3 linked regions of the Arabidopsis thaliana genome follow. The protein of the gene in region 3 interacts with the protein of the main gene of each other region in a biochemical or structural test. Each region holds a gene or a part of one and is shown on either strand. Other genes may lie near its edges. The genes, in order: ESD4, TERT and NAP1;2.

Region 1 (8,077 bases), on a different chromosome or scaffold from region 3:
GAAAGTCTAATGAAAAACCAGACACTATACTATACTAGTCAAAGGATTCACTTAACATTTAAGGAATATGATTTATGCTTAACATTTTAAAATCTTCTTTTGGCGGCTCCACTAGTCAAAGGATTCACTCATCTTATTCTCAAGACTGATGTCCCTGCCATGACAAATTCTAGACAACAAAATATGGCTAGCAGTCAGAACACAAGCGATACATCTTCAAGGCAGTATGAAACAACGGAGCCTTCTCTTGATGAAAACATTGATGCATTGCTTGAGGTAAAGAGCCATTTGACCCTTCTATACTTCTAAATTATGCTATGAGCGTGAGGGAATTTTATGAATATCGCTCACGAATAACCTTAGAAAACCTGTAATATGGTAATTATTTTGTTTAAACTCTGGCAGGAAGAAGAGACCTTAATTACAGCACACAGAAAAGAGATCGAGGATACAATGGAAATAGTTCACGAGGTTATGGCTCATATGTCTTGTGATTGTTTTAACATTATTTCATGTTTTTTTTTGTAGGAAATGAAATTACTAGCGAAGGTGGATCGGCCAGGGAGCATGATTGACAACTATGTTACACAGCTGAGCTTTGTGTTGTCCCGTAAAGCAGCTGGTCTTGTAAGTCTTCAAGCCCGTCTTGCTCGGTTCCAACACCGTCTGAAAGAACAGGAGATACTTAGCCGGAAGAGAGTTCCGCGCTAGGAAAGGCAGTGGAAGTTAGTTTGCCTTCCAGTCAGTTTTTGTTAGGAGATACACACAAGTCTTCCTTCCTCTCGTGTTTTATGAATTGGGGAATTTGTTTTTGTTTTTGGGAGTGGGTTTTAATATGTCAATGTTACATTTGGGATTTTGTTTTTTCTGTGTCCTTGTCAACATTTGTACTCACAAACAGCAGTTTGTTGTATATTTGTAACATATTCGTGTATGTATTGGGGAAATTGTGCAGAACATTTGTATATCGAAAACATTTGCTTTCAAGAGATTATTCATGGAATTTTGGCTATTGAACAGAGGAAAATATATCGAACCGATACTAGATGGAAACTTTAAATTGCGTTCGCACTGGTCAAGACCGGAGAGAAATAAATAAGGTTTTCAACATCTCATATATCTTCAGCTAGACTAACCAACATAGAGATCCAAAACGCTTCATCTACATTTTAAAACAAGAAGAAGGAAAAAAATACAATAACGGAACGAGCTAAGAGCTCTGGGCTTGACTCAGTTTTTACCTCTGCTTTTAAAGCCGAGTGCTTCACTGCCTAAAAGGAGTGGGATTTAAAGTTTGAACAAATCAACAATGGCAACCAAAAATAGTATTCCTAATAGCCGAAAAAACATTAGCACAAGCAACTTCAATCAGCTCGTAGCCTCAGAATCTCTTTAGCTGTTCTGAGTCGGAAGTATGGCATGTGTTCCTGCAAAGTAATACAATGTTATTACGCTAAATGCCTAAATCCTACAAGTTACATAAACTGCTAGGGGGATATACTAATTCCATATTGTTTCAAGACAACCAGTTTTTATTCTCAACTACAGTTTCTTGAGGCATTCAGAGATTTGGATTCTGATAGCTTACCTGGCTGAAACATAGCCCCAGGCCTCTGCTGAAAAAATCGATGTACTTAAGCATAAACATTCCACAGTCATACCTGAGAATATAAAAGATTGCAACAAAGAAACAATATAGAGTTAGCAGAGAGCTTAACCAGAGTGCTAAAGAGCATAAGAACAGTTAAGTTATACCCTTGTTGATTCCATTATCAAAATTTATATCAGGTGAATTTCTCCTAATCAATCTCAAACCAGATCTATCCTTTGTCTTAAAAACCCATATTCCCACATCAGAAGACAAGTATCTGATTCTACAGAGGTTATCTCTTTAACAAGATAGTTCCTTTCACATGATCATGGATCATAGCAAGTTCAAGCATAGTTACATACCCATTCTTTTGTTGGGGAAGGTCTTCCACAAATTCCATGTCCCACGAATTAGCATCAATCTTTTTTCCACTTTTTTCATTTGCTTCATCACCCATGTATTTTGCCTGAAGCAGAATATCAGATCTGGCATTAGCTATAACGACTAGTATATATGGTTAGAACACTTTCACAGTAGTGTCCGATTTAAAAAGCAATAACAGCTTCTGGCATCTCCATAATGTCTCCAAACAGATTTCAGAATCAAGAAATGATGATAAAGATTTATCAGCATCTAATATCTTTTAATGCATCCAACATGTCAGTTATTAATAGACTAAATAAAGCGAATAAGAGTTAGAAATTAAATCATACCAGAGCATTCAGAATCATAGGATCAACTCCATTCAGTGAATCAAGATACAAGAGCTTGCTTTCCCTGTTGTTAATTACTGCCAAGGTCCAATGCACACCCCTGTGGATGGGAACAAATATCTGCAGAGGGCACAGACTAAGTTAAACATAAATAAATTGGACTACATGCGTAATATTAACAAGAGAATCTTCAAATTCAGGTTCTTCGACAAAATTACCATGTCACAGTCAATAAGAGCATATCCCAACTTTCTCTGCGTAGTCCATCTCCTGACAGCTTTAAAATTATAACCAGAATCGCTTACCAGCTGAAAAAAATAATTAAAGAAAGACAGATTTAAGTGCCAGAGGATTCATCAACGTATAAGAAGGCCACAGCTTGTCTTGGTTACTCACTGCCATTCATGGGATACAGAAGCCAGAGACAACTGAGTACCATGGGGAGAAACAAGGCCAAATATATCAATAATCTTATCATAAAGATCACTTAAACATACTGCTTATCATTTTTATGGAAGCAAGTAGCAGCTACTCAGTCGAACTGACATGAGGCAAAAAGGATCAAATTTTTGTTAAAAATCATCTGAGCAGAAAGAAAACAAACCTTTTTGTAGAAAAAGGTATTGAAGTAGTGACACTTCAAATACTTTTTGGGCTCTCTAGTTTCTCTTTCTTTGAGTAGTTCAAGGTAGACATTGATAACCTATAAAACAGAACAAGAAATCAGCAAAAGAAAATGTGATTTAAGAGCTCTTAATTGTGTAGAATATTATGGAACAAGTTGTACCTCGTCGTTTAGCCATGCAGATGGTGTAAGGCATTGCAGAACTTCTCCAGTAATATCAATGTTTGAGTTTTCATGAGTAGCCAAGACCTTCCTTCTGAAAAATGGGAGACATTTGGTTTTTGGTTAGACTAAAAAAAATCACTCAACATGCTAGAGCGTCTTAAGAAACCATACCTATTTCTCCCAGAAAAGGCACGGTAGACTTCAGCCTCTTCATCTTCTGTGAGAGGAATAAAAGGTTCACGAGGCACCTTCATTATATCAACAACACAACAAACATAGTGTTAACAACAACAATAAACATAGAAACACACTAACGATCTCAACGCTAAGATTACAATATACTCTAATAAGTAGAAGAACTTTGACTCTGTGTGCATAAGTAATAACTGCAGCTTAATAACCAATAAAGCCAACAAGTATTGTACTATCTTCAGTCTACACTAACAAACAGTAGGCGATAACATCATATGCATTTTAGAGAAACAATCCAAACAAAGCAATGTCATTAATTATATCCAATTCAAGAAAGATTAGTATAAATCTCATCACCTCAACACGCTTTTCCACAGTCTTTGGGCGAGACTGACGCAGCAGTGACAACTTCTTCTCATTCAACACAATCTCAAAACCCAAAGCTTCCAACTTTGAATTCCTCTTCTCCGCACTTTGCATAAGCTTTCTATAAGCTTCGAGGCTCGAAGCATCATTATCGACATCTCTATCTAACGACAACGAATCCAGCATCATACTAGTATCCTCAACTCTAAAGTTCTCCCCTTTCTTAACATCAGTAACACCAGAAGAAAACGAAGGCTGAAGATTCTTCTTCTCCTCATCATCATCACAATCAATAACTTCAATTGCTTGAACACTTGAATCATCAGAAACAACTTCCTCCTTTTCAACCTCATCACCCAAATCAACAAAGTCTTTACCTTTATTAACGAATCTCAAAGCTTCCAAAGCTGATCTCTTTGCATCATCATACTTACGAACAAAGAAATTTGCGTCCTTTTCGCAGTAATCATTAGATTTTGCCTTTCCATATCTAAGAATTCCTCTACTAGGAGCATGAATCTCTCGTCTAAGAGGAGCTTTAGCATCAGGGTACCTTGAAATCCTCGAAATTGTTGGGTTTGAAGACGCTGGCTTACCAGAATCTTCAGACATAGCGAATGAGAATCTTCGTTTCTTGGAAGCTTGGAAATACGGTGAATTTCGTAAAGGGTTGGTTGATTGTTGATTAATGAAATTGAAGGATTCGTCGCTGCGTTTACGATTGATCGCTACGGCACCCATTAGGGTACGAATTTGGATGAACCACTAAACCCTAGAGATTGAGTAATCAATGAGATGAGAACCATTCGAGAGACACCTAGAACATGAAATTAGGGTTCTGTAGAAGAAAAGAAAGCTCAAAGATGAATGATTTGATTTTTTCTCTTTCCTTTTAAATTTGGGGGTTTTCTCCAAAAATAATATTTGAAAGAAAAAAAATTGTGGTTTTATACTTAACTAAACTATAAAATTTATGAAAATCAAATTAAAATTTTTTCATAACAATTAAAGTATGGTGGGATCATGATATAAATATTCTCCTTACCAAAATAAATAAATAAATAAATATATATATAAATATTCTTGGTACTACTCTTCAGTCTTTGGTGGTATACGATATTGGATGTTGAAGCTATCACACTCATCTATGGACATGTCAATCGGAAAAGAAATAATGTGGCAGATGCACTATCCCAACAAGCCTTTGTTATATAGGTTCTTTGTATCAAACATATACAACACCACCATATGTTTACAATTTAATGCAACTAGTACTTGTTAACAAAAAAAAAAGAATTTTGATTAATGGTTATGGTTTTCTTTGTTTTTGAAGTGGCTTTTGGTTTAAATTTTTTCACAATTTTGTTTAATAGCCACAACTTTTAGAAAGTTATTACATTTCAGTAATTGAGTTAACTGTATCTCAAGAAAATTATATCTTTCGGAAAATTATGTAGACGCTAACTAACCTTTACAAAGACGCCTATGAGACTGCAAAAATTCTTGTCATATTTATTGATCAAACTAACGTAGAGTTTGACCAAGAGAAAAAGAAGTAAAAAACAACAACAATAGATATGGATGTTAACGTTGATTTTTAAATGATGGAGATTTGTTTGCACTTTTTTAGATGGAGATGGATCTTATTTTTGCCACTTGGAGGTTTTTTAAAAAATGAAAAACTAAACATGTTTTACAGTAAAACCTCTACAAATTAATTTTTGATAAATTAATAAATACAAGAAGATAATATTATATTAGTTTCAAGTCGTGTGAATGTAAAATTTAACATAATTTGATAAAATAATAAGTTAACAATTTTTTAAAACCCTATATAAAAAATATGATTTTAATAACATCATAAATTAATAACCACAAAAATATAATATATATACGATAATATATATAATCTATAGTTTAAATATTTTTTGAACTATTGAATGTTTGTTAGAGTTTGTCTTGAACTATTATTACATCAAACAATGATTTTGTCTCTAATTTTCATTAAATTATGTTGTGTTTTAAAACTATCATATTGTAGTATCGTTTATAACTTCCTAATACAATTAGTCATAAGTTTTTATAAGTATACAACTTCTTAATCTGCATTATTTTCATTTCAATAGTCTACTACATTTAAAAATCTGATAGTTGAGGTTATTAATCATAAACTTAGATGTATGTATATCTATTATATAAATGAATTCAGTTATAGTCATTGTGATTTATTGTCAAATGAGTTTTTTGAAATATTAAATTTTCAATTCTAATACTACACAAATTTCAACATCCAAGTCATTAATTTGATGTATATTGAATTGTGTCAACTCGTATTCTTTAAAAAATTAAATAATTAAAAAAAGATCTATATAGATTAATAAATATCAATTTAAAGATAAACTAATATCACTATAAATTCAGAAAATATCATGGTCCCAACATAGATTGTATTATACACTGAAGAAGATAAATATGGGGATATTAATATACATTCTTCCAAAACTTTTCAAAAGATGACTTAATGAAAACGCTTATGTTTTGCCTATAAATTTGGTGGTGAAAATGTATTCCATATCACTAGTAGTAAACATGCAATGCATATCAGCTTATGGATCTATACTCTCTCTTCCTTTACGTTCCAATTTATTTTCGGTAAGAAAACTCTCTAGCTTTCCCCACAAGTCATTTTCAGGTCAGCATGGAAAGCTTGTTCGCATGAAGGCCACCCCTACTCGGGCCTGTCATGATCAAGAAAGTAATCGCAAGTTCAAGAGACTGCCGCTTTCAAAATGGGGTCACCATTTCCTCTCTGCTCAAGTTGATGTCTCGGTGAGTCTATAATACACACTGACAAACATATATATAATAAATGTAAAAGATCGATGTAACGGGTATGAACATATGATATTATTGTTAGGAAATGAATGCCCTTGCCCAAGAGATTGAGAGACTAAAGCCGGAAGTAGGGGAGATGCTCATGTTTTCTTCGAAAAGCATTGAGTCGACCAAGAAGAGGATTCTTTTCATATATATGCTTGTGAGCCTTGGTGTAGCGTTTCACTTTGAAGATGAGATTGAGCAGAGTCTAGAAGAGGGTTTTGAAAAGATACAGGAGATGATAGCCGGTGAAGATGATTTGTACACGATTTCCATCATGTTTTGGGTTTTCAGGACATACGGTTACAACATGTCTACCGGTAAAAGTTATCTACCAGTACATTTTTTTGTAATCGATTCATATGTATTAACAAGATTCTCCTATTGACCAATAGATGTTTTCAAGAGATTCAAAGGGGAGAATGAAAAGTTTATGGAATCTATAACCAGTGATGTCAAGGGCATGGTGAGTTTGTATGAAGCTGCTCACTTAAGGACAACAAGAGAAGATATCTTGGAGGAAGCGTTAAGCTTCACTACAAGAAACTTGGAGTCGTTAGCTAGAGCTGGAGCAAGTTCTCCCCATATCTTAATGCGTATACGAAATGCTCTTTGCATGCCTCAACATTACAATGCCGAAATGATATTCGCGAGGGAATACATTTCTTTCTATGAACAAGAAGAAGATCACAACAAGATGCTACTTAGATTTGCCAAGATCAATTTCAAGTTTTTGCAGCTAAATTGGATTCAAGAATTGAAAACTCTGACCAAGTACTATACTCTAGATTTTTCGTGCTTCTAGCTATATGTTTTTTGCGATACAAGTTGACAATAGTCATTGACATGTTTTGCAGATGGTGGAAGCAGCAAGACCTTGCATCTAAACTCCCACCTTACTTCAGGGATAGATTGATCGAATGCTATTTATTTGCAATAATGATATATTTCGAGCCACAATTTTCACTTGGGAGAGTTTCACTAGCTAAGATCAACACAGTCTTCACCCTTGTTGATGACACGTGTGATAGATACGGTAATGTTTCTGAAGTTGCAGCTCTTGTTCAATGCGTGGAAAGGTAACATCATCCAAACACGAATGCGTATCTTATCTCAAAGGCCAGTGCCAACCCAACCATGAAAGAAAATCCTAGTGAAATAGATTAGAGATCCTAAGTGAAATCAAATACATTAATTATTCCAATACTTTACGTGACTAAATATATTTATTCTGTCTATTTCTTTAATATCTATGTAAAATCATAAAATATATGAACACAAAACATTAAGAAATCAAATTTTTCTAGAAATATGGTTTCATATATAATAGATCATAGGGTAAATTTTTTTGGTGAATATATATCCCGTACAAATATCTCAGTATGCATGTACAGATGGGATCCAGATTGCATGGACAGTTTACCAGATTATATGAAAACCGTCTTCAAGTTCGCTTGGAATACTTTCGAAGAGTGTGAAAACGCAGGCATAATGGAAGAGGGATTGTCTTATGACGTGCAAGGTGCACTTGAAGAGGTAGTGTATATA
Region 2 (8,077 bases), on a different chromosome or scaffold from region 3:
TTTTGGCACATTGAGAAAATGGCTTGTTCTAATGCCAGTTCATGGGAGTGTTGGCTATATGAACATTTCAAATGTAACAACAGATCTTGTTTATTGAAGATAAACCCATGGTATGGAGTGTGATTATCTACCAAAAATAAAGAAGAAAGCTATTCATCTACAAAATTTGCTTAAATTATATAATCTACATGAGGTGTTTAACACAGTGCTTATTATCCCTTTCTTTGTCCCTTTAGATCGTTCCTGAAATCTGCTGTAGCCATGTCAAAACCCTCAGGTTGCTTCCGTGTTTGGTAGAGTGCATAGAGAGAGCATCATCACCAGTAACCTTTGCATGAACACGATCCATTTTTGAAATGATGGAAGCGACTTGAGTCCCTCAATATAATATCATGATCAATGATTCTGGACATGTATGTGAATGCTGTATGGCAATCACCACATACCCGTAAATTCTTAGTAATCCTGATAGCAGCACCTTGCGGAGTTGTTAGAATACCATATGCAAGAGCTAACTTCTCACTATGCTCGAAAAGAAGATCATCTTTCTCTTCATCGTCTACATCATGAAGAGCAAAGCCTGTTTCAGGAACATAACCAATGTCCTTGATGCGTTGCATGTGATCTAAGAGGACCTGGTATATTTCCTTAGCGTGTGGATGAGTTTTATCACCCACGAAGAACGTAGTAGTTCCTTTAATTCCTTCAACCCAACTACAACCAGGTCTTTTCTTAACTCCTTTATGTCTCATCAATGATCTGATCCTAGTCACATCTTTCCAACGCCCTGCATTTGCATACAAATTTGAGAGTAATGTATATGATCCATCATGATTAGATGCTAATTCTGTTATTTTTTCCGCAGCGTACTCCCCGAGTTCAACTTTTCCGTGGATTCTGCAGCAACTGAGAAAAGCAACCCATACCACAGGAGGAGGCTCCATTGGCATTTCTTCAATGAGACGCAAAGCTGCATTCAACCGGCCAGCACGACCTAACAAGTCAACCAAACATGCATAATGCTCCGGACCAGGACTAACCCCAAAAACAGTTTTCATTCTATTGAAATACTCCATGCCCTGATCAATCATTCCTGAATGACTACAAGCATATAATACAACAAGTAATGTAACACCATCAAGCTTAAAACCTATTCTCCTCATTTCATCAAAGATTCCAAGAGCTTCTTCTCCATAACCATGCATACCATAACCCGTCATTAGAGATGTCCAAGTAACTTCATTTTTCGCCATCATATTGTCAAATACAAGGCGGGCATCACTGATGCTTCCACATTTTGCATACATGTCTATTAGACAGTTTGATACGAACAGCGGTACTGCATTCTGCTGGTTGCGCAACGCATAAGCATGAATCTGCTTGCCAATTCTTAGTGCAGCCAAACTGGCACATGCCACGAGGGCACATGATATGGTAAAAGCATTTGGTCTTGTTTGGCAATCTTCCTCAAACATCTCAGATAAAAGTTCGAGAGCTTTATTTGCATCCCCGTGCTGGGAGTATCCACCTATCATCACAGTCCAAGTCACAACATCCCTTTCCTTGGGGGAAAGTGAATCAAACATAGCACGTGCAGTATCAACCTTTTTGCACTTAGCGTACATGTCAATCAGTTGATTGATTACCATATTCTCATCACCATGACCGTTCTTACGCAAGTCTATGGGATATTTGATGGCATAACAATGAATCTCTTTACCATGCATCAATGCTCCAACAGAAGCACAACCCGAAAGAACCGAAATAAGCGTGACTTCATTTGGTTTTATCCCAGAAGACAACATCTGCCTACACACACCCAAAGCTTCATATCCAAGTCCCCGTTGAGCATACCCTGAAATAGCAGCACTCCAAGTAACAACATCCATTTTTATTTTCTCTTCCTGCATCTTCTCAAATAACCTAACAGCATCTTCAAACCTTCCAATCTGTGAATACCCAGCAACCATAGCATTCCAAGATACTACGTCCTTCACTGACATGTTCGAAAACACCGTGTTTGCCTCATCCATCATCCCACACTTTGCATACATATCCACCAAGCAATTCCCTACAAACATATTCTGTATCATCTCACTTGTGACTGCAAAACAATGCAATTGCTTCCCTAGTGAATGAGTTCCTAGGGAAGCACAAGGAGGAAGAACATTCACAAGGGTAATATTATCAGGTCTACATCCGAATTCATTGGTCATCCTGCTAAACATTTCAAGCGCCACCTTAGGTTTGCCTAACTTTGCATAACTTTCTATTATAGAGTTCCACGATACAACATCCCAAACAGACATTTCGTCGAACACCTTCCGTGCATCACTCAATGAACGACAACGGGAATACATAGCAACAAGCGCATTCCCAACAAAGACATTGGAGATAAATCCAGTTACCAGAGAAAGCGCGTGAGCAGATTCTCCACAACGAACGGAGGATATCTCGCCGCAAGCCTTGAAGACGAAGGGGAATGTGTAATTATCCGGCGTCCATGACAGAGAATGCATAAGGCCGAACAAATAGAGACATTTATTGGCGCAGCCATTGTCGCCGTAGCTGCGAATGAGTGAATTCCAATGGTAGACACCAGCGTCAGATGGAGGAAAACGACGGAGGAGAGATACGGCATGAGATAAGCAACCGACGGAGATATAGGTGGAAATGAGGTGGGAAGTGAGATTCAAGGTTAGGATTCCGAAAGAGAGGAGTTTCTGGTGAATAAGCTTGACCTGAGAGATGGTTTTGCATTTGTGAATAAACGGCGGTGTTATCTCCGGCGCCGATGTCGAGAAGAGAGAGACTTTAATGTACTGGTGAGATTTTGCGGCGGCGTTGGGGATGAGAAGGCGGCGGATCATACTACTGTAACTAGAGTGGCGGGTGATTTCTGCGTTTAAACTAAACAAATCAATTCGGTTATATCCCGGTTTTAGATTGGAAATTTGAAGAAAGTAATGAAACCGGATGTGAAAAGAAGAAGAAAGTATAATAGACCGATTAAAATTTAAAGCGAATTTCGGTTCGGTTTATGTGCTAAGCGACCTGCGTTTGCGGTTGAGTGGACGCTTTGGATAGCGTTTGTAGCTCAGCTTTGAATTGTTTTGAAATTTTCAAAATCGCAGTTTATAGTTTCGAGAACCCAGAAGACCTTTAATCTCCCGCCTCTTTCACACCATCAGACTCCATTATCGAAGCTCGTTCACTCTTCTCTCTCTCCAAATTCGAGAGAAAGGAGGAGGAAGGTGTAATGCCGCGTAAACCTAGACATCGTGTACCGGAGATTCTATGGAGGTTATTCGGAAACAGAGCCAGGAATTTAAACGACGCAATAGTAGATCTGATTCCTAACCGGAATATCCAGCCGGAGCAATGCCGATGCCGGGGTCAAGGTTGTCTCGGTTGCAGCAGCGATAAACCGGCGTTTCTGCTGCGTTCCGATGATCCCATTCACTACCGTAAACTTCTTCACCGTTGCTTCGTTGTACTTCACGAACAAACCCCTCCGCTTCTGGATTTCTCTCCAACATCTTGGTGGTCACAGAGAGAGGTAAGATTCTTCTTCCCACTGTACTATACATTGCTTTGAGTGCTTAATTTGAGATATTTCAAGACGTGGCTACTCCTTATAAAATGCCTCTATGTTATCTTATTTTGTATGATGTTGCTGATTTCTAAACATTTTGCTTCAATTGAGTTTATCAGATTGTTGAAAGGATTATTGAAATGATGCAATCTGGATGTGATTGCCAAAATGTGATATGTGCCAGATATGATAAGGTGAATTCTTCTTCTTCCTTCTCAAACTCAATGTAGAGTGCTGATTTTCTTAGCCTAATGATTTCTCGTCTCCTTTGACAGTATGATCAGTCGAGCCCTATTTTGGAGCTATTGACAAGTTCATCTTGGGAGTTTCTTCTCAAGCGGGTTTGTTCTCAAACCCTTTTGATGATTTACTTTCAATATTCGAGTTTGCGGTCACTAATATTCAAGTTCCCTTGTTTATAGGTCGGTCATGACGTCATGGTTTATCTTCTACAGCAAACATCAATATTCTTACCATTACTAGGGAAAAAACACCAGCAAGTGTCTGGACCTCCTCTATGTATCAAGCATAAGCGTGAGTCTCAGAATTAAACTTGTATCCGAGCTCTTCTGTTGGCTTTCTTTTGAAACTTCCACTTTCTTGTTGGTTCTCTGAATACTTATGATTTGTCTGTGACTGCTTGGTTATCGATTATCAACTTCTGGTTTTTAGTTCATATTAACTTAGTAAAGTTTTCCTTCTCCATGGTATAGGGACATTGTCAGTCCATGAAAACAAAAGAAAGAGGGATGACAACGTTCAGCCACCAACGAAAAGGCAGTGGCTTTCTTCAGCTGTCGATGACTGTCCTAAGGATGACTCTGCAACTATTACGCCCATAGTTGGCGAGGATGTAGACCAACATAGAGAGAAAAAAACTACTAAGCGTTCAAGAATATATCTTAAGCGTCGGCGAAAGCAGAGAAAGGTCAATTTCAAAAAAGTTGACTGTAATGCTCCTTGTATAACTCCCAGTACAAATGGTAAAGTCTCAACTGGTAATGACGAAATGAATCTGCACATTGGTATAAATGGAAGTCTCACTGATTTTGTAAAGCAGGTAATGTTCGTAACAATGATATTGATCAATCAAGTTTAAGTTGAAAATGCACAAGTTTAAACATAAAGTTATTGCTTAAAATTACTAAGAGACGTGTATAAATTGCTCTTGATTTATCCTCAGCCTTGAGAAATTGATGGGACTATTTTTGTAGTTGTACTTTGGTGTATTTTAAAAACTGTATCATTTATCTTGTTGTATTCTGGTGGTTATTAATATTCTTCCTGACACTTCATTACCTTCAAATTCGACAATCTGTTCTTGTATTTGTAAGATTTAATCACTGTTTTTTGTAGGCTAAACAGGTTAAAAGAAACAAGAATTTCAAGTTTGGCCTCTCAGAAACGTATTCAGTTATACCACCAAACCGTATCCTTCAGTGGTTTTGACATGTTCAATGACTTGTAGCAACGATAGCTTGATGGAAGTTTAAACGTTACTCTTCTCTATACAGTTCTTCTGCATTGTGAATGATTCCTTATGATATACAGACATTTTAAAAACCTTGAGGCCCAACTGCTCTGATTCAAAGCTCCTAATGAACCATATATTTGGTGAAGTAAATGTTTGGTCAACGACGCCATCTCATGGCAAAGGCAATTGCCCCAGTGGATCTATTTGCTTGTAAGTCATCCATTTATTCTTGTAAGTTCTTCGGCTTACTCTGAGACTTGGAGCATGTATTCAGATAATGTAGAGCACATATCTAAGTAGTCTGAGTTATAAAAGGAATTTGTTTAAAAGTTTTGTTGAGGTAACTGATGCAAAGAAGAAAATGATATCATGATGTCTTTTACATTGATTTGCAGATACCATTCATTGCTCAAGTCTCTTAAAAATCTAATAGGAAAAACAAAGTCTTCACATTTAAAAATGCTACTAGACAAACACTGTCCTGTTCTCTTGCTGCAAGAGGATGCATTGAAGTCCGGAACGACTTCTCAGGTTGATATTTTTCTTTTAGAGATGGTTTTCATATTTAATTTCCCTAGCGTTTTTCGTTTGATGTCTTTTGAGTATTTCTATTTCAGAGAAGTTATGTTGAATATTCGAATATGTACAACAAAAAGAAACTAGAAATGGAAAATCAACACAGTTGCTACTTTATAGACTTTGGATATATAGTGCAAACCTGCATAAGAATTCATATCCGTGGCACTTCCAAGTGCTTCCTTGAAGTGACGAACCTTGCATATCTTGTATTACAGAGTTCAAGGAGGCAAAAAGCAGATAAGCTGCCTCATGGATCAAGTTCATCACAAACGGGAAAACCCAAATGTCCCAGTGTTGAAGAAAGGAAGCTGTATTGCACGAACGACCAAGTAGTTTCCTTTATTTGGGCCATCTGTAGGTACATTGTTCCAGAAAGTTTGCTTGGGACCACTCATCAGATGAGGGTGCTTAGGAAAAATATAGCGTGGTTTGTTTCAAGGCGACGAAATGAGAAATGCACAGTGAATCAGTTTTTGCATAAAGTGAAACCATCAGATTTCCCATTCTTTGCTAGAAAAGAGTTATGCTGTATGGTCAACGGACATGAACTCCAAAGTGAATCCATCAGAAGTACACAGCAGATGTTGTGCACGAAATGGATTTCTTGGCTTTTTTTAGAGATTGTCAAGAAATTGGTGCACTTCAACTTCTATGCCACTGAAAGCCAAGGAGGACGGCTAAATATTTATTATTACCGGAAAAGGAGCTGGGAAAGATTAATAAGCAAAGAAATTAGCAAAGCCCTTGATGGATATGTCCTAGTAGACGATGCTGAAGCTGAAAGTAGCAGGAAGAAGCTATCAAAGTTTAGATTTTTACCAAAGGCCAATGGTGTGAGGATGGTGTTAGACTTTAGTTCTTCGTCAAGGTCGCAATCTCTTCGTGATACACATGCTGTTTTGAAGGACATCCAGCTCAAAGAACCAGATGTTCTTGGGTCTTCTGTCTTTGACCATGATGATTTCTACAGAAACCTATGCCCATATCTGATCCATTTAAGAAGTCAATCTGGAGAACTTCCTCCTTTGTACTTTGTGGTTGCGGATGTATTCAAAGCATTTGATTCAGTCGACCAGGGTAAGCTGCTTCATGTCATTCAAAGTTTTCTGAAAGATGAATACATCTTAAACAGATGTAGGCTGGTCTGCTGTGGGAAGAGATCCAATTGGGTAAACAAAATACTAGTCTCGAGTGACAAAAATTCTAACTTTTCAAGATTCACATCAACTGTTCCATATAATGCACTGCAAAGTATCGTGGTTGATAAGGTATGCTTCTTTTTGACCTAGAGCTTTTTGATCTTTTTGCAGAGGGTAAAATACAAAACTATTGGACTACTTAAAAAAATCTCTAGAGATCTCTTTTCTTAGTGCTTGTAGCGTCCCTGTTGTTCTTTACTTATTTGCTTAACGGTGTTATGGTTTTGGTCCAACCTTCTAGGGAGAAAACCATCGAGTGAGGAAAAAGGATCTAATGGTTTGGATAGGAAATATGCTAAAGAACAACATGCTGCAGTTGGATAAAAGCTTCTATGTACAAATAGCTGGAATACCTCAGGGACACAGATTATCATCCTTGTTATGTTGTTTTTACTACGGGCATCTCGAGAGGACTTTGATCTACCCATTCCTCGAAGAAGCCTCTAAAGATGTGTCTTCTAAAGAATGCAGTAGAGAGGAAGAGCTTATAATTCCCACGAGCTATAAGTTACTGAGATTTATTGATGACTACCTTTTTGTGTCTACCTCAAGAGATCAGGCGAGTAGCTTCTATCACAGGTTGAAGCATGGATTTAAAGATTACAACTGCTTCATGAACGAAACAAAATTCTGCATAAATTTTGAAGATAAAGAAGAACATAGGTGTTCTTCTAATAGAATGTTTGTGGGAGATAATGGAGTTCCTTTTGTCAGATGGACGGGTTTGCTTATTAATTCCCGCACATTTGAAGTTCAAGTTGACTACACAAGGTCTGCCTCATCTCCTGTATGTTTCCTTCATAAGTATACTTGTTTGGCTCTGTTTCCTCAGCTTTTATTTATAATTTTGCCTCAAATTCATGGAAACAGGTACTTGAGTGGCCATATAAGCTCAACTTTTTCTGTAGCTTGGCAGAACAAACCAGTTAGAAATCTTCGGCAAAAATTGTGTTACTTCTTGGTTCCGAAATGTCATCCAATTCTATTTGACTCGAACATCAACTCGGGAGAAATCGTCAGGTTAAACATCTATCAGATCTTTCTGTTGGCTGCAATGAAGTTTCACTGTTATGTCTACGAGGTGTCCCGGTTTTGGAAGCTTCATCCTCAAACTTTGTTCAAATTCATCACAATATCTGTCAGGTATGGAATCAAAACTACATCATATGTCTGTGAGCATTTCGGTTTTTGGATCATTCTGATTTGAGTTATTCGGTCTTTTTTTGCTTA
Region 3 (8,077 bases):
TCTGTGTATGTATATGTATCATGAACGGGATAGAAACTTTAAAGTATCAAGAGTGTACATGGGGACGAGGTTGAGGGTTTCCAGATTGTGATTGCTGATACTTGTATACTGTCCAGTCAAACACAAAATCAAACTGAAAACCTGGGACAAACAAAATACTCATTTTGAGTCAACAGATGCTTCTGTATGAACTTAATAGCCTGAGAGGAAGAAGAGAGATAGAGAAAATGAATGACCTTCCCGGATAAAAAGGTTGCGGAATAGTCTCTTCAAATATGCATAGTCTGGCTTATCATCAAACCTAAGTGAGCGGCAGTAATGGAAGTAAGATGCAAACTCTGTTGGATGACCTCTGCATAACGTCTGCAAAGTTACAGTACTATCTATGATCAACCGTCTCTACCTGATCATAATCCTTTGAAACATGGATTCGTATAAGTTTCTAAATGTAAACCATATAAGAAGAACTTACTTCGATGGAAGTTGAAACCTTCTTTTCGCTGATCTTATCATACTTCTGTTTCTTGTTTCCAGCTTTCAGCCCTTGCCAAGGGAGACTACAAGAGAATAAGATATTAGAGATGGATTGGGAGACAAGAATCAGAACAGAAAGAAAAGTTACTTAATGACTCTCACCTTCCCTTGAGGAAATACATGAGGATGTAACCAAGCGATTCTATATCATCTCTCCGACTTTGCTCTACCAAGTGAAAAATGTCAAAAAGTAATCAGTGAAAGAGGAGAAAAAGATCCGCGATTATCATGAGGGTTTATAGAAAGTGATGGAGTATACCAATCCCTAGGTGAGTGTTCAAGCTGGCATACCTCGGAGTCCCAATTAGACTTTTATTCTCCCTGAATCATTTACACGTAAAATCCAAACAATAAAGAACCCGTTGTCAGGAAATCTGAAGCTGACATACAATATGCTGAAAATGCTGAATCTGTGACATCCAAAATCTTGTTACCTGTATGGGATATGTCTATGAGTTGAGCTGTCTCTATATTTCTTAGCCAAACCATAGTCTATGATGTAGACCTAGAGAAAGAGACCAAAATCAGTCATACAATAGCGAGACCCCAAAAACAAATCCAACTGAGAGAATTTGCAAAAGTAAGAAAACCTGATTTGCCCGCCTCCCTAAGCCCATGAGAAAATTATCCGGCTTTATATCACGATGAAGATACGACTTAGAATGAATGAACTCGAGACGATTTATCTGACACAAGATAAACCCAACAGTGAGAGAGTTACATTAAGAATGACAAGACACCAATCCAAAGCATAATTACCATTTGATCAGCAAGCATAAGAACAGTCTTCAAGCTAAACTGCCTCTTGCAATAACTAAACAAATCTTCAAGACTTGGACCAAGCAAATCCATGACTAAGACATTGTAGTCCCCCTCAACACCATACCATTTCATATTTGGAATCCCAGCTACATTAACGAACATACACAAGAAATGAATAACCAAATGAGAATTCAATAACAATAGAGATAAACATTTCATTGCATACTTCCACCCTGAAGAACTCTATATATCCTCGACTCATATGACAATTGCGGATGCGCAGTCTTCACACTTTCCTGCACACACACAAAAAAAACTAAGTTTTGATGATCCAAGTTGGGACTTTGAAGAGATGAAACACTCACAAGCTTAATAGCAACTTCTTCGTTAGTCTGAACATCAGTTCCTGCAATCAAAACAGTCTCATCAAACGACTATTGAAGAGATTTTATATGTATAGAGAGGGGAGGAACGAACCGAGGTAAATCTCTCCGAAAGAGCCGCTCCCAATTTTGCGGCCAAGGCGAAACTTGTTCCCAACACGAGGTTCCATACCCAATTGAAAAAACCCTAACTTTGTGGTTTTATCTATCTACTACGTCGAGCGGATTTCTCGATTTCTCATGCGGAGGAGAGTGAAGTGCGATGATCAAAACTAGGGCTTTTGCGAAGAAGAGGGGAAGAATCGAGCAGGTTGAAATTGGAAGTGAGTAGGTGAGGAAATTTAGGGAGATTCCATGGTGTTTTGGTTAAGCAACCAGAAGCAAGCAAGATGAAGAAGACTGCGCGTGTGTGTGTGTCTCGCTTAGCCTGTTGCTTTTGGTCTTTTCTATTCCTTTTCTCAATTTATTAAATATCTTTATTCGGTGAAAAAAATATACAGTATATTTCTTAGAAACTTTATAATAAGAATAAGGATTTTGTTTTTATATTTTCCTAAATTCCATAAATCTCTTAAGTTTACAAATTCATATATCTTTTAACATTTAAACAAATAACCAGACTTCTAGTAATATATATAAATTTATTTAGGGAGTGTTATTGGTTTGTGATGTATTCGAAGTTTCAGTGACTTAAAATGTTATGAAGAATTTGTTGTTATTCAATAAAGATTTTTCAATTTTTTGTTAAAGTTTGGTGTTATTAGTTTAAGATTTGTAAAAAGTAATATAAAATCTTCATAAATGTAGAGTTATTGGATTCATATTTTTATAAAGTTATTAAATTTTTTGTGTAATTCATTTAAAACAAAGAATCTATGATTATTATAATGAATTAAATTATTGTGTTATTGGTTTATGACTTTCTACCCTTTTTTTTATAAAATAAAGTTGTGAAAAATATCATACCCTTTTTTTTTACAAAATAAAGTTGTGAAAAATATCATAAAAATAAAGAAATTGTTTGAGAAACTTTACAAAATTATTAAAAACTAATCAACAAGTTTATTAATGACCTTAAACCAAAATAGGTACATATAATATTAGATAGATCATGCAAATGCGTTTGGTGGTTATGTTACTTTTGTATCATTTGATTGGCATGATGTTCTACATTTTTTTACCATTTCTCTATTCTTAAGTCGAAATCTTTAGGACCAAATAAGCATTTTTCCCTAAACTAACAAAGCAGCATCTCACTAGATGTTTTCCAATCAGATTTGCTTACTATAGTGTGCTAATATGAAATTTGAGTGACTCATGACAATGCATCAATCCAGATTAAGCATTAACATGTGATCAGCTAGCATTCATGAGAATATGAGAATTGTCTTCGAGCTAAAAGAAAGTAGACTCTTTTTTCACTTGAGAAACTCATGACATACTTTTTTTTTATATACATTTGTTTTTTGATGATTAGGTTAAACTTTTGTAATAAATAAATTTTTAGTTAAATAAATAAACTTCTATCATCAAAAGACTCGTGAGTTTCTTCCTATGTTGCAATGAAATGGAAACGAAAACGCGAATACGAAACGTTTCGGAAACGAGAAACGATTTTTTCTTAAAATTAGGGATTGGAAACGATTTTTTCTTAAAATTAGGGATTGGAAACGTATACACATACATACATATATATATATATATATATATAACATTAACATAAAACTATATTAAAGAAAAAATGGTTTAAACAATACAAGTCCAAAACATCAATATTAAATAAATAAACTAAAATTCTAAAAGATAAAAATTAAAAGGTTCAAGTTCAAATAGTTAATTTAGACCAACATTTTCATTTTCATTAGTTTCATCAAAGATAATATAAAGCTCTTTTCAAATCTGGTTTATCAAAAGAAATATCTTAAAACTCAAAGTCTTCCAAAATTAGTTATATGTATTAATAATTTTAATAATTTTAATTTTAGTTATTAAATTTTCAAAGTTGAAAAAAATTTGTCGTATGTCTATTTGGGAAACATGAGTTTCTATCTTTAAAACGTAAGTTTCCATCGTGTTTCCAAACATAAATTTTTAAAAAACGCGTTTCCGTTACGTTTTTCATGTTTCCGGAGAGTTTCTGTTTTCGTAACGTTTCGGAAATGGGAAATAGACCTCGGGGCGAGTTTCCATGCAACCTAGATTTCTTCTAACCAATAGAAATGCTCTTAAAAGCCTTTTTTTAAAAAAAATCAACAGAAATGCTCTTAAATGTTAAAAACAAATATTCATGCCAAATTTTGATGTAAAAATTTGTTATTTTCGCTTTAGTTGTGTCTTATTTCGGTCTGGTCATTTTCTCAAAGCCCTTTTAGTTATTTATATATATATTCTCTGTCTCGTATTTGTCCCCAAAAATCTAGGGTTTTAAGGTTTCTTATCCTTCCTCTTCCTCCGCCAGATTCTTTTCTTGCGAAGATGAGCAACGACAAGGACAGCATGAACATGTCCGATCTCTCCACCGGTAAGATATTATAATCTTATTGTCCTATAGAATGAGGCCTGGATTCTCTTTTGTTCTCTTGATTTATTGAAAAAAGCTTCTCTTGTTTTGTGTTTTGCTTATAGCTCTTAACGAGGAGGATCGTGCCGGGCTTGTTAATGCTCTTAAGGTGAGTTTTTTCTTCACGATATGATTTGCGTATGACTATCTGGAGATTGGGCTATTCATCTTTGTAACTTTTAGGGATTGTTTTCTCTTCCTGACTAGTTTTGAGAAATTGATTTGATTCTTATGGCTTAGAGAATTTGACTTTGGTTTTGAGGATTGTCTATGCATCTTAATTTGGTTGTTTGAAAGTTTGTGACTTTTCCTGATTTGATTTACGTGTTTGCTGCAGAACAAGTTGCAGAATTTGGCTGGACAACACTCTGATGTCCTTGAAAACTTGACTCCACCAGTCAGGAAGCGTGTCGAGTTTCTAAGAGAGATTCAGGTGAGTAAATTTTCAGCTTTTAGATGATCTTGGATTTTGTATTGGTTTTGAATTAGCTGGCTGTTCAGGTCTAATGAGTTTTTGGTGGAGCAAATTTATCTGATTCCTTTTGTATTTTAACCTTTGCAGAACCAATATGATGAGATGGAAGCAAAATTCTTTGAGGAGAGAGCAGCTCTTGAAGCTAAGTATCAAAAGTTATATCAGCCTTTATATACCAAGGTTTGAATACGGTCTTTGATTCTGCGAGATTCTTATGGTCTTTAGTTTCCTATTATTAGAATATCTTTGAAACACATGATGACACCTCAATTGATAAAGGTTTAATAAGACTTCTCTCTGTTGCTACTTACGTGAATGATTAGTGCTTCATGGTTTTCACTTCTTTCTGCATCATTCGTGATTGTAACTGATATTGATGGTCTTCTGCCTTCTGCATCACAGCGATATGAGATTGTGAATGGTGTGGTCGAAGTTGAAGGTGCAGCTGAAGAAGTAAAATCCGAACAAGGAGAAGATAAATCAGCTGAAGGTGTGTTTATCGATTCTTTTACTGAAACATGTTTATTTTTAGTATCTTATGATGATGATGGTGAACTCATGATTTTTATATGATATGAAACTGTCTTTCTGCAGAGAAAGGAGTACCAGATTTCTGGCTTATTGCATTGAAGAACAATGAAATTACTGCGGAAGAGGTTCGTTATTAGAATATTCTTCTTTTTGGTTTATAAAATGGCGATTCTCTTTATCATTATGTGGTTTTTTCCACGGTTTTAGATAACTGAGCGAGATGAAGGGGCTCTCAAGTATCTCAAAGATATCAAGTGGAGTAGGGTTGAAGAACCAAAAGGGTTCAAGCTTGAGTTTTTCTTTGATCAGAATCCTTACTTCAAGAACACTGTCTTGACCAAGACATATCACATGATTGATGAAGATGAGCCTATCCTTGAGAAGGCCCTCGGGTAATGTTTTGCTCTATCAAGTATTTACTGTTTATGTTCTGAAGACAATAAGTCTTTATTGACTGTCGTTTACTGCTGTTCAGGACGGAGATTGAGTGGTATCCTGGAAAGTGTTTGACACAGAAGATTCTAAAAAAGAAGCCAAAGAAAGGATCCAAAAACACAAAGCCGATCACTAAGACTGAGGACTGTGAGAGTTTCTTCAACTTTTTCAGTCCACCTCAAGTTCCTGACGATGATGAGGATCTTGATGATGACATGGTATTTCCATCTCCATAAGCAGTTTAGTTTTTAGAGTCAGTAATTAAGATTGTGTTGGATTTTAATCTGATCATCTAATATTCACAGGCTGATGAACTCCAAGGACAAATGGAGCATGATTATGATATCGGGTGTGTACCTTTCTATTTCATATTCAGTTCTCTTCACTTAGTTCAGTTCTAGGATCTGAGTCTGTCCACTGTTTATCCTGTAGTTCAACAATCAAAGAGAAAATCATCTCGCATGCTGTGTCATGGTTCACTGGTGAAGCTGTTGAGGCAGATGACCTTGATATTGAGGACGACGATGATGAGATTGATGAAGATGATGATGAAGAGGACGAGGAAGATGATGAGGATGACGAGGAGGAGGATGATGAGGATGATGACGAGGAGGAAGAAGCAGATCAAGGAAAGAAGAGCAAAAAGAAGGTAAATTATGTGGTTTTGTTCTACTTAAAACCTTCCTACATAGGAAACTAAAACCTCTGAAACTGATTTGGTGGTTTATCTTTTGTTTTGTTGCAGTCATCAGCTGGGCACAAGGTTTAACAATCAATCAATCTCGATCTTTTTTTTTTGTTGATAATGCAATGGCTAACCTGAGGTATCCTTTTTTAATGAACAGAAGGCTGGAAGAAGTCAACTTGCGGAAGGTCAAGCAGGTGAGAGGCCACCGGAATGTAAGCAGCAGTGAAGAAGTGAAGAATCTTGGCTTAGTTATGATGAAGAAGAAGAGTGAAGAGTGTCTTTGAGCCGAGGTTGTGTTTCTTTAATTTGCAGAGTCATGGTCCGGTTTATTATATATCAGTTTTGGGTGATTGGTTTGCTATTTAAAAAAAAAAAATGGGTTCTTTGGTTTGGTTTGTGTCTCTTGATTTTTCCTTTTGTAATGATCTTATGAATTTGTTTCGAGTTAATGTCGTTCTCTGGTCAGATTTCGAATTCAATTCTATTTATCCTCCCTCGTTAATGAGAGAATTTGTGAGACAATCTAGTTTACTTAAGATTGATCGAATTTTATAAACCAACATTACCAAACCGTCAAATAATTAAAACCAATCAATCTTATTTATCGGTTTGCATAACCCATCAATGAGCCGGTTTAGACATCGGTTTGAGTTTCTCTGGGAAAGACAAAAGTCAAAAACATCTCTGCCGACTTGTAAAAGACCGATCAACAGAAACCCAAAAAAAATAGTTGAAACGGAGGGAAACGAAAACCTAAAACCCTAAAAAACTCTTCCTTTTTTTTTTCCAGTGAAATTTCTCTTCTTCTCCGTTTTCATACAAGTCTGACTTCTGGGTAGTTGGAATTTTCCAGTTTTTGGTTTGTTTCTGTATCTGTGGTTTAAAAAAGTGGAGAAGAAGCTTTTTAGTGCTTTTCTATGGCGAGGATTCTCCGAAACGTTTATTCACTGAGAAGCTCTCTGTTTTCGTCAGAGGTATGTTTATCGTGTTTCTCATTTGGGTATTACGAGAAATTAAAAAAACTCTGTTACTGTCGTTTTCATTGCTTATTTGGGTATTCATTCATGAGAAAGAATCCGAAATGTTGTCTCTTAATTTGAATTCATTCTTTTTTTCTGGGTAATGTTTATTGACAAGGGTTTCATGGGGTTTTGCAGTTACTTAGAAGAAGTGTGGTTGGAACATCGTTTCAGCTCCGAGGCTTTGCTGCCAAAGGTTGTCTTAAGCTTTTACCTTTTGTTTCTATGAATCGATTTTACTCAAATTGGTTTTTGATTTTGATGAATATATGTATTTCCACAGATTACTAGAGCTAAATCCGTTTGCGTTTCTGATTGCTTAGCTCACTGTGGTTGTTAAAGTTGAGGTTTTTGCCATTAACTCTGCAATTGTTTTTGTTTTGAAGCTAAAAAGAAATCCAAGTCAGATGGAAATGGATCATCTGAAGAAGGTATGTCGAAAAAGGAGATTGCTCTTCAGCAAGCACTTGATCAGATTACCAGTTCATTTGGCAAAGGGTCCATAATGTATCTCGGTCGTGCTGTTTCTCCTAGAAATGTCCCGGTTTTCTCTACCGGATCTTTTGCCCTTGATGTAGCTTTGGGAGTTGGTGGCCTTCCTAAGGTATATATACTTATCTCTTTTGGTGATATTATTCTTTCCCCAATATGTGTGTTTTAGAGTTTTTATAGGTTGGTTCTATTAGCTAA

The links.
Region 1: of the proteins of NAP1;2 (region 3) and ESD4, one has a biochemical effect on the other in vitro, tested with the Arabidopsis thaliana proteins (one study listed by BioGRID).
Region 2: the proteins of NAP1;2 (region 3) and TERT form a complex in vitro, tested with the Arabidopsis thaliana proteins (one study listed by BioGRID).

The regions. Positions count from the first base shown.
Region 1 is NC_003075.7:9,009,085-9,017,161, reverse strand, and holds ESD4 (Cysteine proteinases superfamily protein), read right to left. Parts: upstream 4,593-8,077; 5' UTR 4,394-4,592; coding exon 3,644-4,393; intron 3,343-3,643; coding exon 3,266-3,342; intron 3,186-3,265; coding exon 3,092-3,185; intron 3,008-3,091; coding exon 2,909-3,007; intron 2,613-2,908; coding exon 2,523-2,612; intron 2,425-2,522; coding exon 2,305-2,424; intron 2,077-2,304; coding exon of another isoform or gene 2,071-2,076; exon of another isoform or gene 2,058-2,070; coding exon 1,954-2,057; intron 1,662-1,953; coding exon 1,589-1,661; intron 1,428-1,588; coding exon 1,365-1,427; 3' UTR 983-1,364; downstream 1-982. Other genes in the region: AT4G15885 (kinesin motor protein-like protein), read left to right, coding at 184-276, 406-471, 529-711; TS1 (terpene synthase 1), read left to right, coding at 6,215-6,481, 6,570-6,849, 6,925-7,303, 7,387-7,608, 7,924-8,065. UniProt on the Arabidopsis thaliana protein: Protease that catalyzes two essential functions in the SUMO pathway: processing of full-length SUMOs to their mature forms and deconjugation of SUMO from targeted proteins. Cleaves precursors of SUM1 and SUM2, but not of SUM3 or SUM5.
Region 2 is NC_003076.8:5,538,627-5,546,703, reverse strand, and holds the start of TERT (telomerase reverse transcriptase), read left to right. Parts: upstream 1-3,144; 5' UTR 3,145-3,259; coding exon 3,260-3,559; intron 3,560-3,714; coding exon 3,715-3,789; intron 3,790-3,870; coding exon 3,871-3,936; intron 3,937-4,017; coding exon 4,018-4,129; intron 4,130-4,308; coding exon 4,309-4,655; intron 4,656-4,951; coding exon 4,952-5,024; intron 5,025-5,146; coding exon 5,147-5,279; intron 5,280-5,464; coding exon 5,465-5,600; intron 5,601-5,863; coding exon 5,864-6,916; intron 6,917-7,088; coding exon 7,089-7,618; coding exon of another isoform or gene 7,619-7,634; intron 7,635-7,717; coding exon 7,718-7,990; intron 7,991-8,077. Other genes in the region: AT5G16860 (Tetratricopeptide repeat (TPR)-like superfamily protein), read right to left, coding at 318-2,870. UniProt on the Arabidopsis thaliana protein: Telomerase is a ribonucleoprotein enzyme essential for the replication of chromosome termini in most eukaryotes. It elongates telomeres.
Region 3 is NC_003071.7:8,434,447-8,442,523, forward strand, and holds NAP1;2 (nucleosome assembly protein 1;2), read left to right. Parts: upstream 1-4,009; 5' UTR 4,010-4,154; coding exon 4,155-4,200; intron 4,201-4,304; coding exon 4,305-4,348; intron 4,349-4,576; coding exon 4,577-4,672; intron 4,673-4,801; coding exon 4,802-4,894; intron 4,895-5,116; coding exon 5,117-5,204; intron 5,205-5,308; coding exon 5,309-5,370; intron 5,371-5,452; coding exon 5,453-5,637; intron 5,638-5,720; coding exon 5,721-5,898; intron 5,899-5,985; coding exon 5,986-6,029; intron 6,030-6,112; coding exon 6,113-6,329; intron 6,330-6,425; coding exon 6,426-6,443; intron 6,444-6,525; coding exon 6,526-6,594; 3' UTR 6,595-7,055; downstream 7,056-8,077. Other genes in the region: ckl5 (casein kinase I-like 5), read right to left, coding at 59-141, 237-363, 473-557, 637-700, 794-855, 969-1,039, 1,125-1,220, 1,294-1,442 and 3 more; RECA2 (recA DNA recombination family protein), read left to right, coding at 7,286-7,342, 7,526-7,583, 7,774-7,991. UniProt on the Arabidopsis thaliana protein: May modulate chromatin structure by regulation of nucleosome assembly/disassembly. May function in nucleotide excision repair (NER). Involved in somatic homologous recombination.